Linked DNA regions of Caenorhabditis elegans. The protein of the gene in region 1 purifies or fractionates together with the protein of each later gene. This does not show direct contact. Each region holds a gene or a part of one and is shown in the gene's direction. Other genes may lie near its edges. The genes, in order: tin-13, Y32H12A.7 and tin-10.

Region 1 (3,239 bases):
AACGAATAATGGAGAGGCATGATGAGAGTATTAGAGAAGTGGTCAAACATCTGAAATTTTGAGGTTTTGCCGCTTTTTTATATGGATAGTGTAAATTTTGAAACTCGGCGATTAACAATAAACATGTACCATTGAAAGACATATTCAGAGCCAGATGAAGGAAGCGAGAAATCATAAGCAGTCTTGTGTGAGAGAAGACAATGTCGTTCTTCTTTGGTGTTTGACACAGAATGAATGAATTCTAGAGAAGGAGGCTGAGAAGAGAAGGAAACAACATCTGGAAAGAGCACTAGAGCGTCGACGCACAGAGACAAAGGGCAATAAATCAATGGGAGAGTGTCATTTTGGCGCGTTGACAGTTTTTATCTCATTTGATGTGACCATGTGGTAGAATATTAGTATAGCACGAAAATTAGAAGCTAAATTTCTATTATGAAGGCGAGATTAGCCGCGAGAGAGAAGTTTGGTGAAATGAAAAGAATACGAAATGAAAGAGTAGGAAAACAATTTTCTCTAGACACCTGCATCTCTAAAACACATTTGATCCCTAAAAAGATTGAAATGAAAAAACAAGAGAATCGATTAAATGTGAGAGGAACTTGGGCAAAACATGTCTCTTGGTAATATGCAGATTAACAATTGAGTATATAAAATTAGGGCTGTACAACCGGACGTCCGGTCGTCCGAACCGGACGCACATGCGTCCGGTTGGGGGTAGCTATCCACGACGGCCGACAATTTCCGAGTTTCGCCACTCACTATAAAATTGCTGATTAAGTATAGTGAGTGGCGAAAATCGGAAATTGTCGGCCGCCGTGGAAACCTACCCCAAAACCGGACGCAGTGCGTCCGGTTTTTTTTTTTTTTGTGCCGATTTGTACAGCCCTATATAAAATGAAGGATTTGTTAGTGAAAACCGAAATCTACGTGACGCTTTGCATAAATTACAGGACCAGATGCATGTTTCACACATCTCCTTGTGGCCTTGAAAGGATGAGCGAATTTGAATTGAATGGTGGGAAAAGTAGCATAAGAAACCGATCGAATGAAACATTTTTCTGGTCGTATTGAATTACGAGATTATACCAGTTTCGCAACTAGTGTTAATTAGAATTAAACATACTCGTGGACATTAAACGACAAAAAAAAAGTAGATTTCGGATTTAATTTTAAACGCTACGCCGAACAATTCTCTAAAAATGCATGCTCATTCGATAAAACCTTTGGTCTATTTAAGAGATCGGAGACCAAGTGCGACAATTGAAATCGCAAGAGGTTAAAAAGAAACACTGAATTTGAAAATCACAAAGAAAGAAGGCGGCGTAATTAGAGAACGAAAATGGCCTTGAAATAAGTGAACAAGAGGCACCGGAATTATGTGTACTTCCAAAAATTACTTCGAAGATTTCCTAAATCAGTGAAGGTTTTATGAAGAACAGAGAGGATTTGTGAAAGCAGAAGCGTGATAAAAAAATGTGCGGGAAATGTTTTTTTTTTAAGAATCTGATTATTCTCATGAGCGACAATTTAAAACTTTTATCTGAGATTAAAAGAATTATCACGAATTACTCGGGACGAAAAATTTAAGAAAAATAGCTTCAAATTCAAATAACGACCCTTTAAAACAACTATCCATGCGAGACCCAGCTCGTAAATCGACACTTGCGCCTTAACAGAACGGCATCAACTTTTCTTGGATTTTTTGTATTTCTATCTCTTTTTTATCGTTCTAATATTTAATAAAAATATTTCAAATGAATATTAGAAAAAACTACACACCTTTTTTTTTTTAAATAAGTTACCTTCAAAGTTCATCAAGAATCATCGATTGAAAGTGAAAAGTAATTAAATCGGGAAAACATTTTCGTAAATATTTCGACACTCTTCTGACGCATTTTTCTTTCTTCTCACAAAAAAAAAGAAACACGAGAACAAACACGCCCATCTTCCCATACAATTGCATCTCAACTTTCGCGCCAACACAAGTGGACGAGGCCTAGAAAACGCGCCCTGCAGTTTTCTATACCGCGTGAATTAATGCATGTTTATGCTGAAAACTTTTCCTAAACGTTTATTTTTCAAAAATATGTTACTTTGTGAGCATGCCATATGATAGACTATTTATAGGAGAAGAAAATGGATCAGCTGCTTGATGTGGAGACGTTGAAGAAGCTGTCACCAGAACAGCAAGAGCAAGTGATCAGTGGTGTCAAGCAGCAAGCTGCCCTTGCCAATGCCCAGAATCTTGTCACGGTAAGCCAAAGAATTGTGAAAATGATGGAGTGGATGCCGAAATGATAGATTTGGGTCATCTCACACCAATTTTCAAATATCAAATTGAAAAACGACAGTGATGTAATTCTAGTCGGCGTTTAGAATGTAAACGTTGAATAATATTTTTGCTTGCAGGACATTTCTGAAAAGTGCACGAATAAATGCATCACTGCACCAGGAAGCTCATTGGCCAGTGGTGAAAAGCAATGTCTACAGCGATGCATGGATCGTTTCATGGAATCATGGAATCTTGTTTCTCAAACTCTTCAAAAACGTCTTCAAGAAGAAATGGCGTCTTCAGGAGGAATGGGTGGTGGATTCGGACAAGGACCGTCGTTTTCTTAAAAAAATGTTTTCAATTAACACCCATTTTCTGTTATTGTTTTTTTCCATTTTTTTTTCTTCGAATTGTCATTTGTAGGTAGATCAAAAAAAAAATCGAATCTTCTTTTGCTCTATATTGTTATCTAATTGCGGCAAGGAATATCCACCAGAATGGTTTTTTGCGGTAGTTTTTCGTTTTCATTTTCTCCGACTTTTTGGCGTATTCTTTTGTGTTTCGCCACATTTCTCCGGTACTTCTTCTAAATAGTTTTTAAATTTTAAGCTCAGTTTCAAACTACTGACCTGTCTCTTCAATTTCAGAATGATTGGCGCTATCAACGTTGCCGGACTCTTATTTAGTGTTTACTTCTACGCATGGTTACGTCCGGATCTTCAAGCAAATGTTCGCATGGGCTTCTATCGATATAAAGTTGATTTTGCAATATATTTCGGAACTGCTGTCTGGTTATTTTTGGCAATGTGTGTCGTCGCTCCACGTGTCTGCCGACGAACCAATGCGATTGCCGGAAATTGTGGAATGGCCGTTTGCTCGATTATTGTCATTGTAAATCATTATCTGCTGGAGAAAAAATGGGTGGTACGCAAACTTTATTTGTTTCAAATTCAACTATATACATTTT
Region 2 (3,756 bases), on another chromosome or scaffold:
ATTTCAGCTCATCTGGCAGAGGATCAGAAGCAAGTTGTGAAGGATACATTGATTCAGTTGGCGACTGGAAAGATTCCATATTTTACTACGAATTATTTTGGTGGTTATGACTACACGGAAAATGTTGGTTTTTCTTTTAACAAAAATTGTTTTAAAATTTAAAAATGTCTGCTTTTTTTTGAAAACATCTCAATTTGGAAAGCGACGGGTTTTGTTCGATTTTTAGAAGAAATATTTTGTTCTTGATTTTTTAAATATAATTTTCTGTGTTTCAGATTTCTCTGACTGAAGAAGACGAGGAGAACGATGATGACAAGTCTCCAGTACTCAGAAATACAGATATAGTTCAACCGGCGGCTCCAAACGCGAAATATCTTGAAATGGAGGATTGTGAAGAAGAAATTGAATGGCTCAGAAGTATGCACGAGGGATCAGATTTCCATAGACGCAGATTTATGGCTGTATTAATGTATAAAATGGCTCAGAAGGCAATTTTCCGTTTTGCACCACATTTGGCTGATTTTGAGAGAGGACGGAAAAGATTCCAACATTTGCTTACTTTACATGCAAAGCAGCGTCCATTGCTTGATATGATGATCACTAAAGTTCGGGGAACTTATTTCATGGTTAGTGGCAAGAAGTTCAAAAGAAAAGTCTTCCCAAAATTTTTTTTAGATCACTTTTTTAAAAACAAAAATCTGAATTTCGTTCCACGATCAAAAAAATGCAGATCTTTTATTTTAATTTGGAATTTAAAAAGTACTATTTTCAACAATTTTCAGCCGCTAGAAACCAACATGTTCCTGTATGATTCCAAATTGATAACATTTGCGGAATTAGTTGATTCGGAAGTTCATCCAAAAGAATGGAAGGAACGAAAAGAGACATTTGAAGAAATTAGACGACAGACACCGAAAGATCCAAAATCAATGTCTAGATTCCTGAATATGCATAATTCGGGTTCTGATTCGGATTCTGGTTCAGAAGTTCGATCGGATTCATCTTCGTCTCTTGGTGGATCAACTGAGTCTTTGAACAGCTCGAAAAAAGGAAAACGAGCTCGCCGAGCAATGAACAAGGCACAAAGAGAGCTGATGCTTTTAAAACTCCGATCGAAACCTGTAAATCCAGAAGAAACATTTGCTCTGGAAAAACGAGCAATTGGAGCAAAAAAGTGGAAGGTTCGACGAAAAATCAACGAGATGTTGGAAGGAATTGCGGATCTTGACAAATTTAAGATTGAGGCGAAGCTTCCGGCAAAAAAGAAAGATTTATTGAAACATATCAATGAATTAATTGTTGAAAATTCTGATACAGCACACTGGTCATGGGGTGATTTGAAAATGCAGACGAGAATACGAAAGATTCCACCAGCAAATAGAATGAAGCCGAAGCATATTAATCGTATTTTGAAGGGAAAGGTATGGAAAAATAGTTTCTGAAAGTTCTAAATGTTTGAAATATCTATAACAAATGAGCTTTAATGTTTTCTAGCAGTTCTACATTTTCAGACCCAAGATAAAATTCAAAGAAATTTTTTAAAAATAAATCTTTTTTTTTCAGAAAATGTACAAACCGCCGAAAAAATACGATCCAAAAGATGCGCAAACTAACGGACGCAAGTGGTTCTAGGAAGGATATACAGTTTTCTTCTTGTTTTATATATATATTTTTTGTTAAATTTTTTGTTATCTTTATCTCATTTTTATAGCCATTTTTCCAATGTATTTCGTATTCCCCTCAATTGTTCTCCCATTATTTTTTTCAAAATTTTGAAATTCTTTCAATCGCTAGTGATTATAAGGTATATTTTCAATATGTGATAATTTTGTATATATATATTTGAATCGATTTGCGCCCATCAAATTGCCTTTCTATTTTTTTTTTCTCAAAAATTATGTTAAATTATTTGTTTGTTCTGATTGGATTTTATGTGATATAAGATTGTTTTATGATATTTTTTTCGGGTCATCCTTTTAATTTGAAAACTGGTTCTAGAATCCTGAATTTTATCTTCTTCTGTAAACTTTTTTCAGAATTTCCAATATTTTCATATTTCCAGAGACATGATATTCGGGTCGACGAGGTTAATTTTGTACAGGTGCTGGGCTCACAGCAGAGCCGTGAGCTCTAGAAATTTTAAATTAGGAATTGTGCTCGGAATGGGTGGAGCTGTGTCTTTAACAAGGTTACGGACATTAAAATGTGAAGCAGAGCATCAAGATCCATGGCTTCTTGTTCCACAGAAAGTAAGATCGAATTTTAAAGTTAAATATTCAAACTTTCAAAATTTTATAAATGATTTTAAAACTTTCAATTACGCAAAAACTCTAGAATTTTATTCTTCACATCCAATTTTTTTGCATAAGTTTTTAATTTTTCGAAGAAAAAAATCCCATAAAATATCAAGATTTTTAGAAAGTCGTAGTGGAAAAATCAACGATGATGGGCATAATAACTCTACCGATTACATTGATCGTTGTCACTTATAAAGCAATAAGGAAAATGTTCAGGTGAGCAATTTTCTGAAAAAAATTGTCTTGCAATTTTTTTTTAATTTGGAGTTACAATGAAAAAAAATAAATTTCAATTTTTAATTGTACAAATATTCCAAAAGGCAACTTTTTATATCTCTGATCTGAAAATAAAAATGCTAAAATATGATTTCCTGGAAAAAAAGAAAATAAAATAATTACAGATGCATTAGCTTATTCCTTCGATTTTCTCCAATTCTTCTCACTTATCCTCTGACAAAAATAGAAGCATTCGAGAATCTTTGGTGGAGATATCTTCTGTGGTCTCTTCAACATTCTGGACCAACTTTTATTAAATTAGGACAATGGGCAAGTACACGAAGGGACATCTTCACAAAAAAGTTTTGTGATCGGGTGAGATTTTGATTTTCTAATCATCTTCAATTTGTATTTTCAATTTCAGCTCTCCGTGCTTCATATTCAAACTAAAAACAAGAGATTCTTCCGTGATAAGAAAAAAGTAATGAATGAAGTATTTGGAAAAGGATTTATGAAATTGCATGGAAAACAAGTATTTCTCGAGATTGAACCATTTTCAATTGGCTCAGGATGTATTGCACAAGTATATCGAGGTACTGTAGATATCTCTGAACTTGAGAAGGCTACTGGAAAGGAATACCCAGAGCTTAAAGGACGTACAACACAACGGATTGCTATTAAAGTGGCTGATAAAGATGTTGATAAGCAAATTGAATTGGATCTTTCAATTCTGAGAAGTGGAGCATGGTTAATGCAACATATTGTACCGGCTCTTTGGTATTTGGATCCAACTGGAGCACTTGAACAATTTGAAATGGTACTTCGGCGACAAGTTGACTTGAGAAATGAGGCGAAGGCTTTGAAGAAGTTTTCAGACAATTTTAGTTCAAAAGAAACTGGAATTAAGTTTCCAATTGTGCTTGGATATACTAAAAATGTAATTGTGGAAACATTTGAAGAAGGAATTTATATTAATCGATTGGTTGCAGAGGAAGGACAGCCAGAGGTTAGAAATTGGAGATTTGGTAGAAAAAATATGAAATAATTTTCCAAAATAAACTTCCACTCTAAAAAATTCATTTTGCAAAAAAACTTTTTTTTTTCAAATTTTTATTGCGTAAATTTAAAAATAAAAAATTAATTAGAATTTTGCCAATAAAAAAATTATTTTTCAAAAATCCGAAGATAGATTTTCAAAAAAAAAAGGTATTTTTTTAGATTTTTGAAAACGAAACATTTTTTC
Region 3 (3,756 bases), on another chromosome or scaffold:
CGGAGCACATAAAATGCGTTGGAAAGGATCAATTCGGAATTTTTAATCGAACTGTACGCATTTTTTGGCCTGAAAAGTGAAAATCTGCTGAAAAAAACGAGAATTTGAGGCGGAAAATCAATTTTATCTCGTTTTTCCAATTTTTTAATCGAAAAATCACAAAAATTGATGCTTTTTTCCATAAAAGTAATCAAAAATTTGACAAATTTGTTGAAAAAAAAAAACAAATTTAAGTCAGAAAAGGAAGTTTTCGCTAAATTTCCAACAAAAAACTACGAATTTCATCGGAAAATTGGAAAATATCACCAAAAACTTCAATTTTTCAATTAAAAAATTGAAAATGTTCTGTAATTTGTTATTTTTTCTGAAAAATTTGTAATAAAAGCACAAAAATCGCATTTTCAGTGGTTTTCCAATCTTTTTTTTTTGTGATTTTTCAAATTTTTCGGCCAAAAAATCACCATTTTCTAGTAATTTTCCAATTTTTTGGGCCAAAAATCGCAAAATTTTCAGTGATTTCTCCAGTTTTGTGCCCGAAATTGCACAAATTTCCAATTTTTTTTTGCTAAACGTTGCACATTTTCAATGATTTTTCCTGATTTTTTGTGCAAAAATTGCAAATTTTCAGCCGATTTTTTCAAATTTCCACTAGAAAATAAAAAAATTTCAATTTTCGCACCAAAAAATCACCATTTTCTAGTAATTTTTCAAGTTTTTAGTTCAAAAATTGCACATTTTCAATGATTTTTTTCCAGTTTAGAACCAAAAATTGCACATTTTCAGTCGGTTTTCTCGACCAAAAAACCCTAATTTCTGCATTTTTCTTCAATTTTTCACCAAAATTTTGCATTTTTCAGGTCCCCAGCGCTTGTCATTACGGAGCCCATGTCAGCTACACCACAACAGTACTTTTATCGATTTTTCTCGGATTTTTTGGAATTGATCGGATTTATCTCGGGTATTATGCGTTAGGTAGGCAGAATTTTCTACTGAATTTTTGAAAATTATAAAAAAAATCGAATTTTTCGTTGCAGGTCTCATCAAAATGTTCTCACTTGGCGGTCTCTTTGTGTTTTGGCTTGTCGATATCATTCTTATAAGCCTACAATTACTGGGCCCGGCCGATGGTACGGCCTACGCTATGGCTTATTATGGCCCGAAGGCCCAAATGATAAGATTAGTAGCAACAATTTGGAAAAAAAATTGGAAAATCTTGGAAATTATAGTTGAAAAAAAAGTTTTAAAAGAAATTTTTTTGGAGTAAAATTGAATTTTTAGCGGAAAAATTTTTTTAACGAGAAATTGCAGTAAAATTGAATTTTTTAAGGGAAAAATTAAATAAAAAATGATTTTTTAGATGAAAATTTCAGAAAAATTGAATAAAAATGATTTCTATGTGGAAAATTCCAGAAAATTATATATTTTTAGTGGAAAATTCGAATTTTCAGTAACAAAATCCAGTAAAATTGAATTTTTAGGGGAAAAATTAAATAAAAAAGATTTTTTAAATGAAAATTGCAGTAAAATTGAATTTTTAGGGAAAAATTAAATAAAAAAGATTTTTTAAATGAAAATTTCAGAAAAATTGAATAAAAATGATTTATATGTGGAAAATTCCAGAAGATTATATATTTTTAGTGGAAAATTCGAATTTTCAGTACCAAAATCCAGTAAAATTGATTTTTGAGTGGAATTTGATTTTTTAAAAAAATAAAAATGCAAAATTTCAAATTTCCTGGCCTTCTACAATATTTAGGTCGAAAAATTTCCATTTTTCTTTTTTTTTTTCGGAGAAAATCGAAAAATCGAGAGAAAAAATTGAAAAACCACCGGAAATCAATTGAAATTCACTTTTTTTTTCAAAAATTCTTTCAAATTTTTATTTTTTTCACGTTCGACAGTCACACCAACTTCTCGTTCTACACCTGCGATGGATGTCTGTAATTTTCTTTTTTTTTCACTTTTTCTTGTCAATATTGCACACTAAATGAACATTCCTGTACATTTTCTTTTTGAATTTTTGTATTTGTACTGTTTTTTTCACTGGTTTTCACCCAGTTTTTGTACCTGAAAACTTTTTTTTTGTTGATTTTTTAATTAAAATGTATATTTTTCCCCTACAGAAATCGACGAAAAAAAATGGCGACGGACGCACAAATGGCACAAGTTGCGGAGCTTGAGGTGAATTTTTGGAATTTTTTGAAGAAAAATTCCAGAAAATTGATTTTTAGGTGGAGAATTTCAGAAAAATTGAATTTTTAAAGAAAGAAACCAAAAAAGTTTAGAAAATTTGAATTTTTCAGTGGATTATTCCAGAAAAATCGAATTTTTATACACAAATTTCAGAAAAAGTGATTTTTAGAGGAAAACTTAAAAAAAAAGGGTTTTTAGAGGAAAATTCCAGAAAAAATTGATTTTGAAAAATAAAATTACAGGAAAATTGGATTTTTATGTGGAAAATTCCAGAAATTTTGATTTTCAGAGGAGAATTACAGAAAAATAAATTTTTTAAGGAAAAATCCGAGAAAAATTGAATTTTTTGGGGAAAATCGAAAACTTGAAAATAAATTATTTTTAGATGTAAAATTCCAGAAATCTCGAATTTTTAATGAAAAAAATTCCGAAAAAAATTGAATTTTTTGGGGAAAATCCCAGAAAAATTGAATTTTTATAGAAAAATGATTTTTTTAGAAAAATGATTTTTTAAGGGAAAAACCACACAAAATCCAAAAAAAAACTTGATTTTTCAGGTGGAAATGATGTCGGATATGTACCGCCGAATGACCAATTCGTGTCAGGCAAAGTGCATTGCCACCGCCTTCAGAGAGTCCGAATTGACAAAGGTAAAATTGGAAAAATATCGATTTTTATGAGAAAAAAAACTGAAAAAAAAGAATATAAAGCGAATTTTCAATGAGAAAAATGAAATTTATTCAAAAAAAAAAAACTGGAAAATTATGATTCGTACTCTTTTTATAGTCTTTAAGTTGAAAAATGTGAAAAAAATCGATTTTTTTTAAATCGAAAACCGTGAAAAATTAGCTGAAAAAGCCGAAAATCGCTGATTTTTTTTTTCAAAAAAAAAAACATTTTCCATTCTAAAACCACTGAAATTTTCCAAAAAACAAATTCTTAAAAAATCAAAATTTAAATTTTTGGACCCAATTTTCACAAAAAATTGAAAAAAAAGCTTTTTTGTTGAAAAATCGATTTTTTCTATTTTTTGCCAAAAAAAAACTTGCGATTTTTTCATTTTTGAACCCAATTTTCCGGAGAAAAATCACAAATTTTCTCTGAAAATTCCGAAAATTGAGTTTTTCGGCACTTTTTTTCGGAAAAAAACCAAAAATTTTCTCAATTTCCAGGGAGAAGCCGTATGCTTGGAGTTTTTTCGAACACCATAAAAAATTAGCTCAAAAAGTGGAAAAATCACTGATTTTTTCATTTGAAAAAGTTTAAAAAATTTGAAAAAATTCACATTTCAAAAATAAACATTTTCCATTCTAAAACCACTGAGATTTTGAATTTTTGGACCCAATTTTCACAACAATTTTTTTTAAAACCCTAAAAATTGAAAGCAAAAGAACATTTCTGACCTAAAGATCTAAAAAATGGTTGAAAAATTAAAAAAAAAATTTTTTTGTTAAAAAACCGATTTTTTCTCCGATTTATACGAAAAATCGGGAAAAAAAAATCAAAAATTGAACAAAACTGGCGATTTTTTTTTATTTTTGTACGCAATTTTCCGGAAAAAAT

What was found.
Region 2: the proteins of tin-13 (region 1) and Y32H12A.7 fractionate together in Caenorhabditis elegans (co-fractionation; one large-scale study listed by BioGRID). This does not show direct contact.
Region 3: the proteins of tin-13 (region 1) and tin-10 fractionate together in Caenorhabditis elegans (co-fractionation; one large-scale study listed by BioGRID). This does not show direct contact.

What each region holds. Positions count from the first base shown.
Region 1 is NC_003279.8:8,758,677-8,761,915, reverse strand, and holds tin-13 (Mitochondrial import inner membrane translocase subunit tim-13), read left to right. Parts: upstream 1-2,127; 5' UTR 2,128-2,136; coding exon 2,137-2,253; intron 2,254-2,409; coding exon 2,410-2,619; 3' UTR 2,620-2,710; downstream 2,711-3,239. Other genes in the region: DY3.8 (SWEET sugar transporter), read left to right, coding at 2,921-3,196. UniProt on the Caenorhabditis elegans protein: Mitochondrial intermembrane chaperone that participates in the import and insertion of some multi-pass transmembrane proteins into the mitochondrial inner membrane.
Region 2 is NC_003281.10:5,383,714-5,387,469, reverse strand, and holds the start of Y32H12A.7 (ABC1 atypical kinase-like domain-containing protein), read left to right. Parts: upstream 1-2,063; 5' UTR 2,064-2,066; coding exon 2,067-2,249; intron 2,250-2,418; coding exon 2,419-2,513; intron 2,514-2,698; coding exon 2,699-2,888; intron 2,889-2,937; coding exon 2,938-3,519; intron 3,520-3,756. Other genes in the region: Y32H12A.8 (WDR59/RTC1-like RING zinc finger domain-containing protein), read left to right, coding at 1-123, 276-626, 783-1,421, 1,564-1,632.
Region 3 is NC_003281.10:11,501,218-11,504,973, reverse strand, and holds the start of tin-10 (Mitochondrial import inner membrane translocase subunit Tim10), read left to right. Parts: upstream 1-2,123; 5' UTR 2,124-2,139; coding exon 2,140-2,181; intron 2,182-2,750; coding exon 2,751-2,843; intron 2,844-3,756. Other genes in the region: TM2 domain-containing protein Y66D12A.21, read left to right, coding at 1-53, 858-972, 1,035-1,176, 1,893-1,944. UniProt on the Caenorhabditis elegans protein: Mitochondrial intermembrane chaperone that participates in the import and insertion of multi-pass transmembrane proteins into the mitochondrial inner membrane.